2 linked regions of the Xenopus tropicalis genome follow. Each later gene encodes a partner of the first gene's protein in a complex. Links are inferred from orthologs where the notes say so. Each region holds a gene or a part of one and is shown in the gene's direction. Other genes may lie near its edges.

The links.
Region 2: ctnna1 (region 1) and cdh26 share a complex: the UniProt entries of both Homo sapiens proteins name them as parts of the cadherin:catenin adhesion complex. The link is inferred for Xenopus tropicalis from reciprocal best matches to the Homo sapiens genes CTNNA1 and CDH26.

The regions. Positions count from the first base shown.
Region 1 is NC_030679.2:20,008,197-20,013,503, forward strand, and holds part of ctnna1 (catenin alpha-1), read left to right. Parts: intron 1-33; coding exon 34-190; intron 191-452; coding exon 453-653; intron 654-1,565; coding exon 1,566-1,717; intron 1,718-2,455; coding exon 2,456-2,566; intron 2,567-4,033; coding exon 4,034-4,215; intron 4,216-4,461; coding exon 4,462-4,567; intron 4,568-5,307. UniProt on the Homo sapiens protein: Associates with the cytoplasmic domain of a variety of cadherins. The association of catenins to cadherins produces a complex which is linked to the actin filament network, and which seems to be of primary importance for cadherins cell-adhesion properties.
Region 2 is NC_030686.2:3,561,744-3,567,050, forward strand, and holds part of cdh26 (cadherin-like protein 26), read left to right. Parts: intron 1-693; coding exon 694-965; intron 966-2,241; coding exon 2,242-2,384; intron 2,385-3,279; coding exon 3,280-3,534; intron 3,535-4,606; coding exon 4,607-4,828; intron 4,829-5,307. UniProt on the Homo sapiens protein: Cadherins are calcium-dependent cell adhesion proteins. They preferentially interact with themselves in a homophilic manner in connecting cells; cadherins may thus contribute to the sorting of heterogeneous cell types.

The DNA.
Region 1 (5,307 bases):
TTTCTCACATTTTTTTTTCCTATCTTACAAAAGGTTATAAATGCAGCTCTGGCCTTAGCAGCTAAGCCTCATAGCAAAATGGCACAAGAAACAATGGATCTTTTCAAAGAGCAATGGGAAAGACAAGTTAGAGTCCTTACAGATGCTGTTGATGATATTACATCAATCGATGACTTTTTGGCTGTTTCAGGTAAGTTTTCTTTTACTGAACATTTTTGAGTGAAAAGTATTAAGAAACCAAAGGTTTATCATATGACACAGATTCAGATAGGTGGAAGAGTACTTTAAATGTATTTTAAATGTCTCCCTAAATAGTTTGTTTTTTGATAGTTCAACACTAAGTGCATATAATGTAAAAAAAAAAATATATATATATTTACCCTGTATTTCCCTACTGTAAAACATTAATTTCTTGTGAAAATAGGAAGGTAATGTCTATCTTTTTGTTACAGAAAACCACATTCTGGAGGATGTGAATAAATGTGTCATAGCTCTCCAGGAGAAAGATGTTGATGGCTTGGATCGTACAGCTGGAGCTATTCGTGGCCGGGCAGCAAGAGTCATACATGTGGTCACCTCTGAAATGGATAATTATGAACCTGGTGTCTACACTGAAAAAGTTTTAGAAGCTACCAAGCTGCTGTCCAATACAGGTATAAAAAGAATTGAGATGCTTTGTAATGTGACTTGTTGATGTACTTTTTTTTTTTTTTTTTTTTTAATCCAAATCTGTTTCTTCCTGCATTCTGAATAGAATGTTGCCACTTATGGTCAAAAATAAGATATGCATATTGACTCCCAAAGAGCATAAAACACCCAGCATTCAACTGTATCAAACTTTATTGCAAGCTTTTCTGGGCAGGGAACTCCTATCTGCTGTATACTGAAACTCCTAAGTACTTAGGAAATAGAAATATATGTTTTTCAAACACTGTCATTCACTTCAGGCTCTCAGAATTGGCTTGTAAATACTTAGAAATAATACCGGTACAGTGATTTCCAAAAACATATTCCCACATCCTAAATATGAGAACCACGATTTTTTTTTCAAAATTGACTGTTTTCCCGTGGTCCCCTTCTACTGTACATTATACAGCGAGAGGCAGTGGGTCCTGACAACATCCCTTAAGGCTGGATATAAGAAACTTTCCAATATATGTTCAAAAAGAGTTTTAAAGTTATTTGAAAATGTAATTTACACTTTTGAACTTCTGGCTTTGACTCCTATAGACCTAGCAGAGAACAGACTTCAGTTAACGTTGTCAGCATCAGAAAACAAAAGGAAAAAAAAAAACCAACAATGCTTTTTAGTAGCAATTCTATTTAAGGATCTTTTTTTTTTTTTAATTGATATTAGCTACCATATAGCTACCCTTGCAGCAAAGTTAACTTTTACACACCAGTTCTTTTAAATAGTTATTGTCTGTTTGTTTTTTAATTTACCAAATTTTCATTTCGAAAGTACAAAAGTTTTAGGATTGTTTTATCATTAATATGATTTAAAAGGTGCTAATTTCCTTCTGTTGACTTAAGCTACTTAAGTATATCTGTAACTGTTCTTCTAGTTATGCCACGTTTCACGGAGCAAGTTGAAGCTGCAGTTGAGGCCCTTAGCGGTGACACAAATCAGACCATGGATGAAAATGAATTTATTGATGCTTCTCGACTAGTATATGATGGTATAAGGGACATCCGCAAAGCTGTGCTGATGATCAGAGTATGTAATATTTATTGCATTTAATATTCCTTCATCTAATTTGTAAGCTAATACTTATAGGCCCACTTGGAGGCAGATTTATTAATTTGAGGGTTTTTTTTTTTTTTTTTGGAAAAGGTAATCCTTTTTTTGGGGGGGGTTTACTAAAAAAATCTCAAAACTTATGTTGTGAAAAACCAACTCAAACTTAGTGCCCTTCTTTTTCAATGTCTACCAAGTTGAAAATTGATCTCAGAATTGAAATACAGCCTATTGCCTTCTACATGAGCTTGCCAGCTTTTAGATGCTGAATTTTTTTTTTTTGAGTTTTTGAAACTTTTAGTAACCTTTTGAATTGTCATGCTTAATTTGTTTTACACACAAGGCCATATTCTGTTACTGGTCTATGCTAATACTTTAGTGTCAGCTCCCTGACACCTGCATTGCTAAAAATGCTCCCATGCCCCACCTAGTGGTAGATATGAGAATAGCACTTAATAGTAAAAATCCAAGACCGGCTCAGCCAAATTATGATTCCTTCAGATACGAGGAGTAGGAGAAACAGTAGCTTATTTAGAGCAGTTTTAATGTGTTATTGGTTCAAAAATAAAGTTTAAAATGGTAAACATTTGCTATGTGAACAGAGTAATATAATAAAAAATTATACCATAAAAATCATGACAGAATCTCTAACATGCAAAAAGAGCTGGGATTTTGCAGATTGATTTCTCAAGTGGATTTGTTAACTTTGCTTTACAGACTCCAGAAGAACTTGATGATTCTGATTTTGAAACTGAAGACTTTGATGTGCGAAGCAGAACAAGTGTCCAGACTGAAGATGACCAGCTCATTGCTGGACAGAGTGCAAGAGTAAGTATCCATTCTACAAAACACAAAGTCACAGAAGATAAAGTCCATATGAAGGTGTCTGTGAAATCTTGTGTAACTATATTCTTTTCTGATAGAGTAACATAACATTTTATTTACAGAGCGCTTGACATGTAAAAACTAAGAGAACAGGTTATTCCCCACCAGGACTTAAAATCTAATGCAACTGGGGATGAATTGGGCATGTAGTACAACTTTATAGCAAGTTGTAGGATGTAGAAACAGTGTGAACAGCGTTGTAGTTAAAGCTTAGTTTTTACCTTTCCTTATTCTTTATCTAAAAGGCCTATGTAAATATAGCCATAAACACTTACAGACCTGCTGGTAAGTTTTCAGTGAAAAGTAACCCCACATTTCTTTCCATCTATTCTGTATACATGATCTTCAGTATCAGACTTCCTTTACTTAGAAAAAACCTTCAGGGTACAGCACAAGCCTGCTCATTTTGCCACTATCTCCCCCCTCCCCTCTCTCTATTGAAAGCTGTTCCCTGCCTGCATGCTGCTTGCCTGTAAGTGAAGTCAGACCAAGCTAAAATGGCTGCTGCTATCTTGCCGAATAAATATATCATTCTAGATTGCACTATTGTGACTTCTCTATTGGCAATCAAATGCCTGAGTAGCTTTCCTTCCTCTTTAAGATTAAAACCATTCTACAAAGAGGCCGCATATGACATGAAATTTAGTTTTGCACAGTTTAGTATCAGCAAAAATAGACACTACTTACAGTGCCCAATTCTAGGTTATCAATAAACAAGTTAAAAAGCAAAGGACAAATGACACCCCTGTCCACGAGTAACATTGGTACAATTAAAAGTGATACCATTTACCAACTTTTTTTGGCCAGTTCTCTATCCAAGAACAAATTTGTGATACTGTATCAAATGCTCTCCTCCTCATAAGGCTGGTGGCAGATGGGGAGATTAGTTGCCTGCGATCAATCTTTGATACTGCGGACTACTAATCTCCCCAAAATGCCTGCCCACCAACAAGAATGTGGGAAGGCATTTCAGGGAGATTAGTTGTCAGTGGTAGTAAAGATTTACCAAGGGCAACTAAGTGCCCTGTGTGCCACCAGCTGAAAAGGCAGTTAATAGAATTTCATACCCCTGATGTCAAACTAACAAGCCTATATTTTTAAGGCTGGGAACAGGATCCCTTTTTGAATAGAGATTGGCAAAAGTAAGGAAGAGGTTGGTAATCACAGAGCTAAGCTCTCTTAGTACCCTGAAATGATTACTATCTGGTCTTAGACCTTTATCTTCACATGTTCTAGTATCTCTTGAATTTTCTTCTGAGTCACCCATGCATCGATAGTTATTTATATATTTGAATTGGTTCTTTTTAAAAGAAAGCCCTTCATTAGCCAATGAAAACTGTAGTATTCGGGTATTACTCTTTGTTCTGGCTGTTTTAGAGAAATGTTTCCTTCTTTCACATCTCCTTTTAGGCAATCATGGCTCAGCTCCCTCAGGAACAAAAGGCCAAAATTGCAGAACAAGTGGCTAGCTTCCAGGAGGAAAAGAGTAAATTGGATGCTGAGGTGTCGAAATGGGATGACAATGGAAACGACATCATTGTTTTGGCCAAACAGATGTGCATGATTATGATGGAAATGACTGACTTTACTAGGTGAGTTTTCAAGCTGCAATAAATCCGTATGTTGTACATAATGATGGAATGATAGAATATTTTAATGACATTTTGCCAGTGGATAGCTTTTTTGTTAGGAGTCCCTTCCAGATCTTGCATTATTGAATTTCTGAACCTAACAAGAACTAATTCATCTCGAATAACATTGCCTTTAAGGCAATAAGACACTTGCATAATCTGTGACATAAATTGTATTCAGGCTCTGGCAATATTTTATTTTCACAGAGGGAAGGGGCCACTAAAAAACACTTCAGATGTAATTAGTGCAGCTAAGAAAATTGCAGAAGCGGGATCCCGAATGGATAAATTAGGACGAACTATCGCTGATCACGTAAGTATGGTGCTTGCTACTGAATGGTGTGTATAATGGTGAGCATGTAGATAGTGGCTCACTGATAAGGACTGCTGCCTTATAGAACTGGGGGTCCATAATTTTGTTCTGGCCTGTGCACCCCCTGAAGTATTCCCCTCTAGACTTAGTGCCCCAGGTACACACAACGATAGTGGCACACACAGAGGAGATTTTACGCGTGTGGGAAATTTGAAGTACTGCCACCGACATATCTCCTGAAAATGCCTTTCCGCTTGATATGTAGATTGCCACATGTAACATGAATTATCGCTGAAAAATGCATTTTTGTGTGTTGTAGTCTGTGGCAGCTATTGCAATTTTGATACTTATTACATTGTTTTGTCACATTTTGCCATGTGTCTACTGTGGAGGATTGCTGTGACTTCTAGTACAGCAGGAGCTGGAGAGTCCCAGTAAGGCTGGGAGGTAAATAGCTGCAAAAATTAGAAGGGGTGTATTGATTGCAATTGAGCCGTCAAAACGATTAGAGCATAAATGTAGTTCCAAATTATTTTATAAGGTGGGTTTGCCTCCTACATTTGCTTAAAAGGCAATTAGTAACTTAAAAGCTGTTTAGAACAAAATGTGGTAAAGTGGGATTTAGTTATGTTTCTGTAAAATATATTTTTTCTGAGGCATATACAGAAATGCAGAGTATGTGTACAGGTATGGGATCCATTTGGATTACCTAGGAATGCTTGGAACTTGGTTTTCACTAG
Region 2 (5,307 bases), on another chromosome or scaffold:
TGGATAATGGCTCAGTTGGGCAGGATGGTAGCTTGGTTGGGTTGTATGGTGGCTCAGTTGGGCAGGATGGTGGCTTGGTTGGGTTGGATGGTGGCTCAGTTGGGCAGGATGGTGGCTCAGTTGGGCTGGATAATGGCTCAGTTGGGCTTGATAATGGCTCGGTTGGGCAGGATGGTGGCTCAGTTGGGCTTGATAATGGCTCAGCTGGGCAGGATGGTGGCTCAGTTGGGCTGGATGGTGGCTCAGTTGGGCAGGATGGTGGCTCAGTTGGGCAGGGTGGAGGCTCAGTCGGGCAGCATGTTAACACAGCTGTTACAATGGGTGCATGTCAGCTCTGGGGCCCATAAGGCCAGCCTGCAGCCAACTCATAGAACAACCAGAGTTATAAAATGACCCTAAGAATGAGAGAAAGTGGCAGTTACACCCTGTGGCACTGTGGGGGGCAACTTTGCCCGATGTTCAATGACAAATGTGATCAAGTCCAACCAATCGTCAGGCAGCACTTACTGTCTCCTCTTTAAAAGCAAAATCTCATTGGTTACTATGGGTCACTGCACTTGGCAAACATGATGCCTTTTATAACATTCGGGGGGTGATGACTTTTTGGGGCGTTTTTGTTGCCGCTTTGAAGCCCCCACGTCTGCCGTTATAGAACCTTTAGGGACTTTTGGCGTTTTTCTTCCCCCGTTGCAGCCTCTGGATTTCGAGGGGACCCCGTTCAAAAAAGTGGTGATCACCGCCGAGAACGAGGAGCCGCTGTTTTCCTGCCAAAACTCCAAAGTGAAGATCAACTCGTCGCCGGTGTTGGGCAACGTCACCATCAACATCCAAGTGTTGGACAACAACGACGCCCCCGTCTTCAAGCCCCAGAATGTGGCCCTTAGGGAGAAGGAAGGGGTGAAGCCTGGGACTGTCCTACTGAAGCTCAATGCCACCGACCCGGACAGGGTGCCCAACAACATCAGGCAGGTTCTGCTATTCTCTATCATGGAGCCTTCAGGGTTTCAGGAGTCACAACCAGCAGTGCAGGGAACATCAACAGCCGTTGACTCTTTTACTATGCAATTTTGGGTGAAGTTTCCCTTTAAAGGCAGAACCTACTCATGAGGTTATTCAGTTGGGGGGTGTCGTTATGGTGCATAAACACGGTCTGGGCGCCCAGAAGTGAATATAAATGTATAAACCAGTCTACAGATTGAAAGGAACCCTGATGCTCATAGGAACCATTTCCCCACCCCACTAAGGCTCACAGGGTAATGAAGCTCCTCCCTCTCCATTGGGAAGTAATGGATTCTGGGACTTGAAGTCTCTCTGCTTTCTGTAGTGGGTGGAGCACACATTATCTAGAAAGCAGAGAGGCTTAGAGAGCAGCTTTCAAATGGGGGTCACTGACCCCGGCAACCAAAAACCCATTGCTCTGGGAGGCTCCAGTTTCATTGTTATTTTTTTCCAACTTTTTTTTTCTATTCAGCCCCTCCCCCTATTCATATACCAGTCTCTCATTAAAACCACTCCCTGGTTGCTAAGGTAACTTGGACCCTAGCAACCAGATAGCTGTTATAACTCCAGACTGAAGAGCTGCTCTCAGCTCTCCAACTCTCTCCATTGGGAAGTGATTGATTCTGGGACTTGAAGTCTCTCTGCTTTCTGTAGTGGGTGGAGCATGCGTTATCTAGAGAGCAGAGAAGCTTAAAGTCCCAGAATCCATCACTTCCCAATGGAGAGAGTTGGAGAGCTGAGAGCACCTATCTGGTCGCTAGGGTCCAAGTTACCTTAGCAACCAGGGAGTGGTTTTAATGAGAGACCGGTATATGAATAGGGGAGGGGCTGAATAGAAAAAAAAGTTATAAAAAAAAAATAACAATGAAACTGGAGCCTCACAGAGCAATAGGGTTTGGCTGCCAGGGTCAGTGACCCCCATTTGAAAGCTGCAAAGAGTTGCTAGGGTCCAAATTACCTTAGCAACCTGGGAGTGGTTTGGATGAGGGACAGGTATATGAATAGGGGAGGGGCTGAATAGAAGAAAAATGTATAAAAAGTACCAATAACAATAAAACTGGAGCCTCACAGAGCAATAGGGTTTGGCTGCCGGGGTCAGTGACCCCCATTTGAAAGCTGCAAAGAGTCAGAAGAAGGCAAATAATTCAAAAACTATAAGAAATAAATAATGAAGACCAATTGAAAAGTTGCTTAGAATTGTTTATTCTTTGTAGAGATCACTCCTGTCTGTATAATGTGCAGGTTCTACGTAGCGAACGACCCAGCGGGTTGGGTGACAGTTGATGAAAAAACTGGAGTCATAACAACTAAGAAAGAACTTGACCGAGAATCCCCTTATGTTAATAAAACCCTGTATGCTTTTGTGATTCACGGGGTAGATGATGGTAAGTACCGGCTGAACTGCCTCCCCCCGTCCCCCAGGTCTTCTCCTAGCCAGGGAACAGCACAATAAGCTGTACCCCCATACTGTACTGTCTAAGGGAAACACTATGGCACCCCCTACCCATATGTATAAATACAAATATACAGAGAAGGAATGTTCTGGGCACACAATAAGCTGTACCCCCATACTGTACTGTCTAAGGGAAACACTATGGCACCCCCTACCCATATGTATAAATACAAATATACAGAGAGGGAATGTTCTGGGCACACAATAAGCTGTACCCCCATACTGTACTGTCTAAGGGAAACACTATGGCACCCCCTACCCATATGTATAAATACAAATATACAGAGAGGGAATGTTCTGGGCACACAATAAGCTGTACCCCCATACTGTACTGTCTAAGGGAAACACTATGGCACCCCCTACCCATATGTATAAATACAAATATACAGAGAAGGAATGTTCTGGGCACACAATAAGCTGTACCCCCATACTGTACTGTCTAAGGGAAACACTATGGCACCCCCTACCCATATGTATAAATACAAATATACAGAGAAGGAATGTTCTGGGCACACAATAAGCTGTACCCCCATACTGTACTGTCTAAGGGAAACACTATGGCACCTCCTACCCATATGTATAAATACAAATATACAGGGAAGGAATGTTCTGGGCACACAATAAGCTGTACCCCCATACTGTACTGTCTAAGGGAAACACTATGGCACCCCCTACCCATATGTATAAATACAAATATACAGAGAAGGAATGTTCTGGGCACACAATAAGCTGTACCCCCATACTGTACTGTCTAAGGGAAACACTATGGCACCCCCTACCCATATGTATAAATACAAATATACAGACTGAGTGTATTTTCCCCGCAGGAGACCCCCCCCAGACAGGCAGCACGACTGTCTCGCTCTTATTAGCAGACGTCAATGACAACACCCCGTTCCTGCTCTCCCCGTACATGGAAGCATGTGAGCAGCTCCAGGCCTCCTCCGCTCCAGGCCCCCGGTCCTTCTCTGTTCACGCCCACGACAAGGACTTGGACCCGTACTCTGGGCCTTTTCAGTTTGAACTGGCGGATAATTCCCCAGATACAACGGATAACTGGAAAATCGGGAGAACCAATCCGGGTGAGTCTCATGGATCCTGTGGGAAATGTCTGTGGGTTATTTTAGTGGGGGGGGGGTCACTAATACTTTGCACCCTTTCAAAGCCAATATTTATGGATATGGGTAGCGCTACTTTTTCAGCAGTCTGGTCTTGCTTTATGGCAGGGATTAGAGATATACACTGAGTATCAGAGCTAGTGTCCCAGACACCAATATTCTCAGCCAATTTGCAGTTGGTCTTCATTTTTTATTACTTGTAGTTTTTTTAGTTATTTCACTTTTTGTCCAGCAGCTCTGCAGCTGGAAGTTATTTGGTTGCTAGGGTCCAAGTTACCTTAGTAACCAGGGGGTGGTTTTGATGAGAGACGGGTATATGAATAGGAGAGGGGACTGAATAGAAAATAAAGTTACAAAAGTAACAATAACAATAAAACTGAGGGAAAAAAAGGAAAATAATTAAAAAACTATAATAAATAAATAATGAAGACCAATTGAAAATTTGGTTGCTAGGGTCCAAGTTACCTTAGTAACCAGGGGGTGGTTTTGATGAGAGACAGGTATATGAATAGGAGAGGGGACTGAATAGAAAATAAAGTTACAAAAGTAACAATAACAATAAAACTGAGGGAAAAAAGGAAAATAATTGAAAAACTATAACAAATAAATAAAGAAGACCAATTGAAAAGTTGGTCATTCTATAACATACTAAAAGTTAACTTAAAGATGAACATCCCTTGACTTTTAGTAGGTTACAGAATGCCCTATTCCTATCAACTTTGCAATTGGTCTTCATTATTTATTTATTATAGTTTTACTATTATTTTCCTTTCTCTTCTGCCTCTCTGCAGCTTTCAAATGGGGGTCACTGACCCCGGCAGCCAAACAACTAAAATATTATTGTTATTGTTACTTTTTATTCCTTACCTATTTGGTCCCTCTCCTATTCATATTCCTGTCTCTCCTTCACACCACTGCCTGGTTGCCAAGGTAAACAAAACCCTAGCAACCAGATAGCTGCTGAAATTCAAAAGTGGAGTGCGTTGGTGCAATGTTACATTTGTGTTGCTATGGAATCATTGTCCTTCTCTTCCAGATGATTCTGTTGAGCTGGTAATGCTTAGAAACCTCCCAAAGGGCAACTACTCCGTGCCCCTCAATGTATACGACCGGCAGGGCACTTTGGAGGCGCAGACCCTCCATATCCGCATTTGCTCCTGCCCCGACGGGCAAACGTGCGAGAAGCCGCAGCCGCCACAGTATCTCCTGGGCCCGGGGGCCATTGGCATTATATTTCTGGCTCTGCTGCTCTTCCTGGGTAAGTAGAATGTAGGCTAGACTGGTGATGGCAAATGGGTGCTTCTAGTAGTTGATCAGCTCCAGAATCAATGTAGGTTACGCTGGGTGCTGGTGTATGGGTGCTTCTAGAGCTGGGCAACTCCAGAATGCAAGTTAGACAAGACACTGGCGTATGGGAGCTTCTAGCAGATGATCAACTCCAGGATGTAGGCTAGACTTGTGCTGGCAAATGGGTGCTTCTAGTAGTTGATCAACACTAGAATGTAGGTTACGCTGGGTGCTGGCATCTCGGTGCTTCTAGAGCTAGTCATCTCCAGAATGTAGGTTAGACTGGTGCTGGCGTATGGGTGCTTATAGAGCTGGGCATCTCCATAATGCAGGTTAGACAAGACACTGGCGTATGGGTGCTTCTAGTAGTTGATCAACTCCAGAATGTAGGCTGAATTGGTGATGGCAAATGGGTGCTTCTAGTAGTTGATCAACACTAGAGTGTAGGTT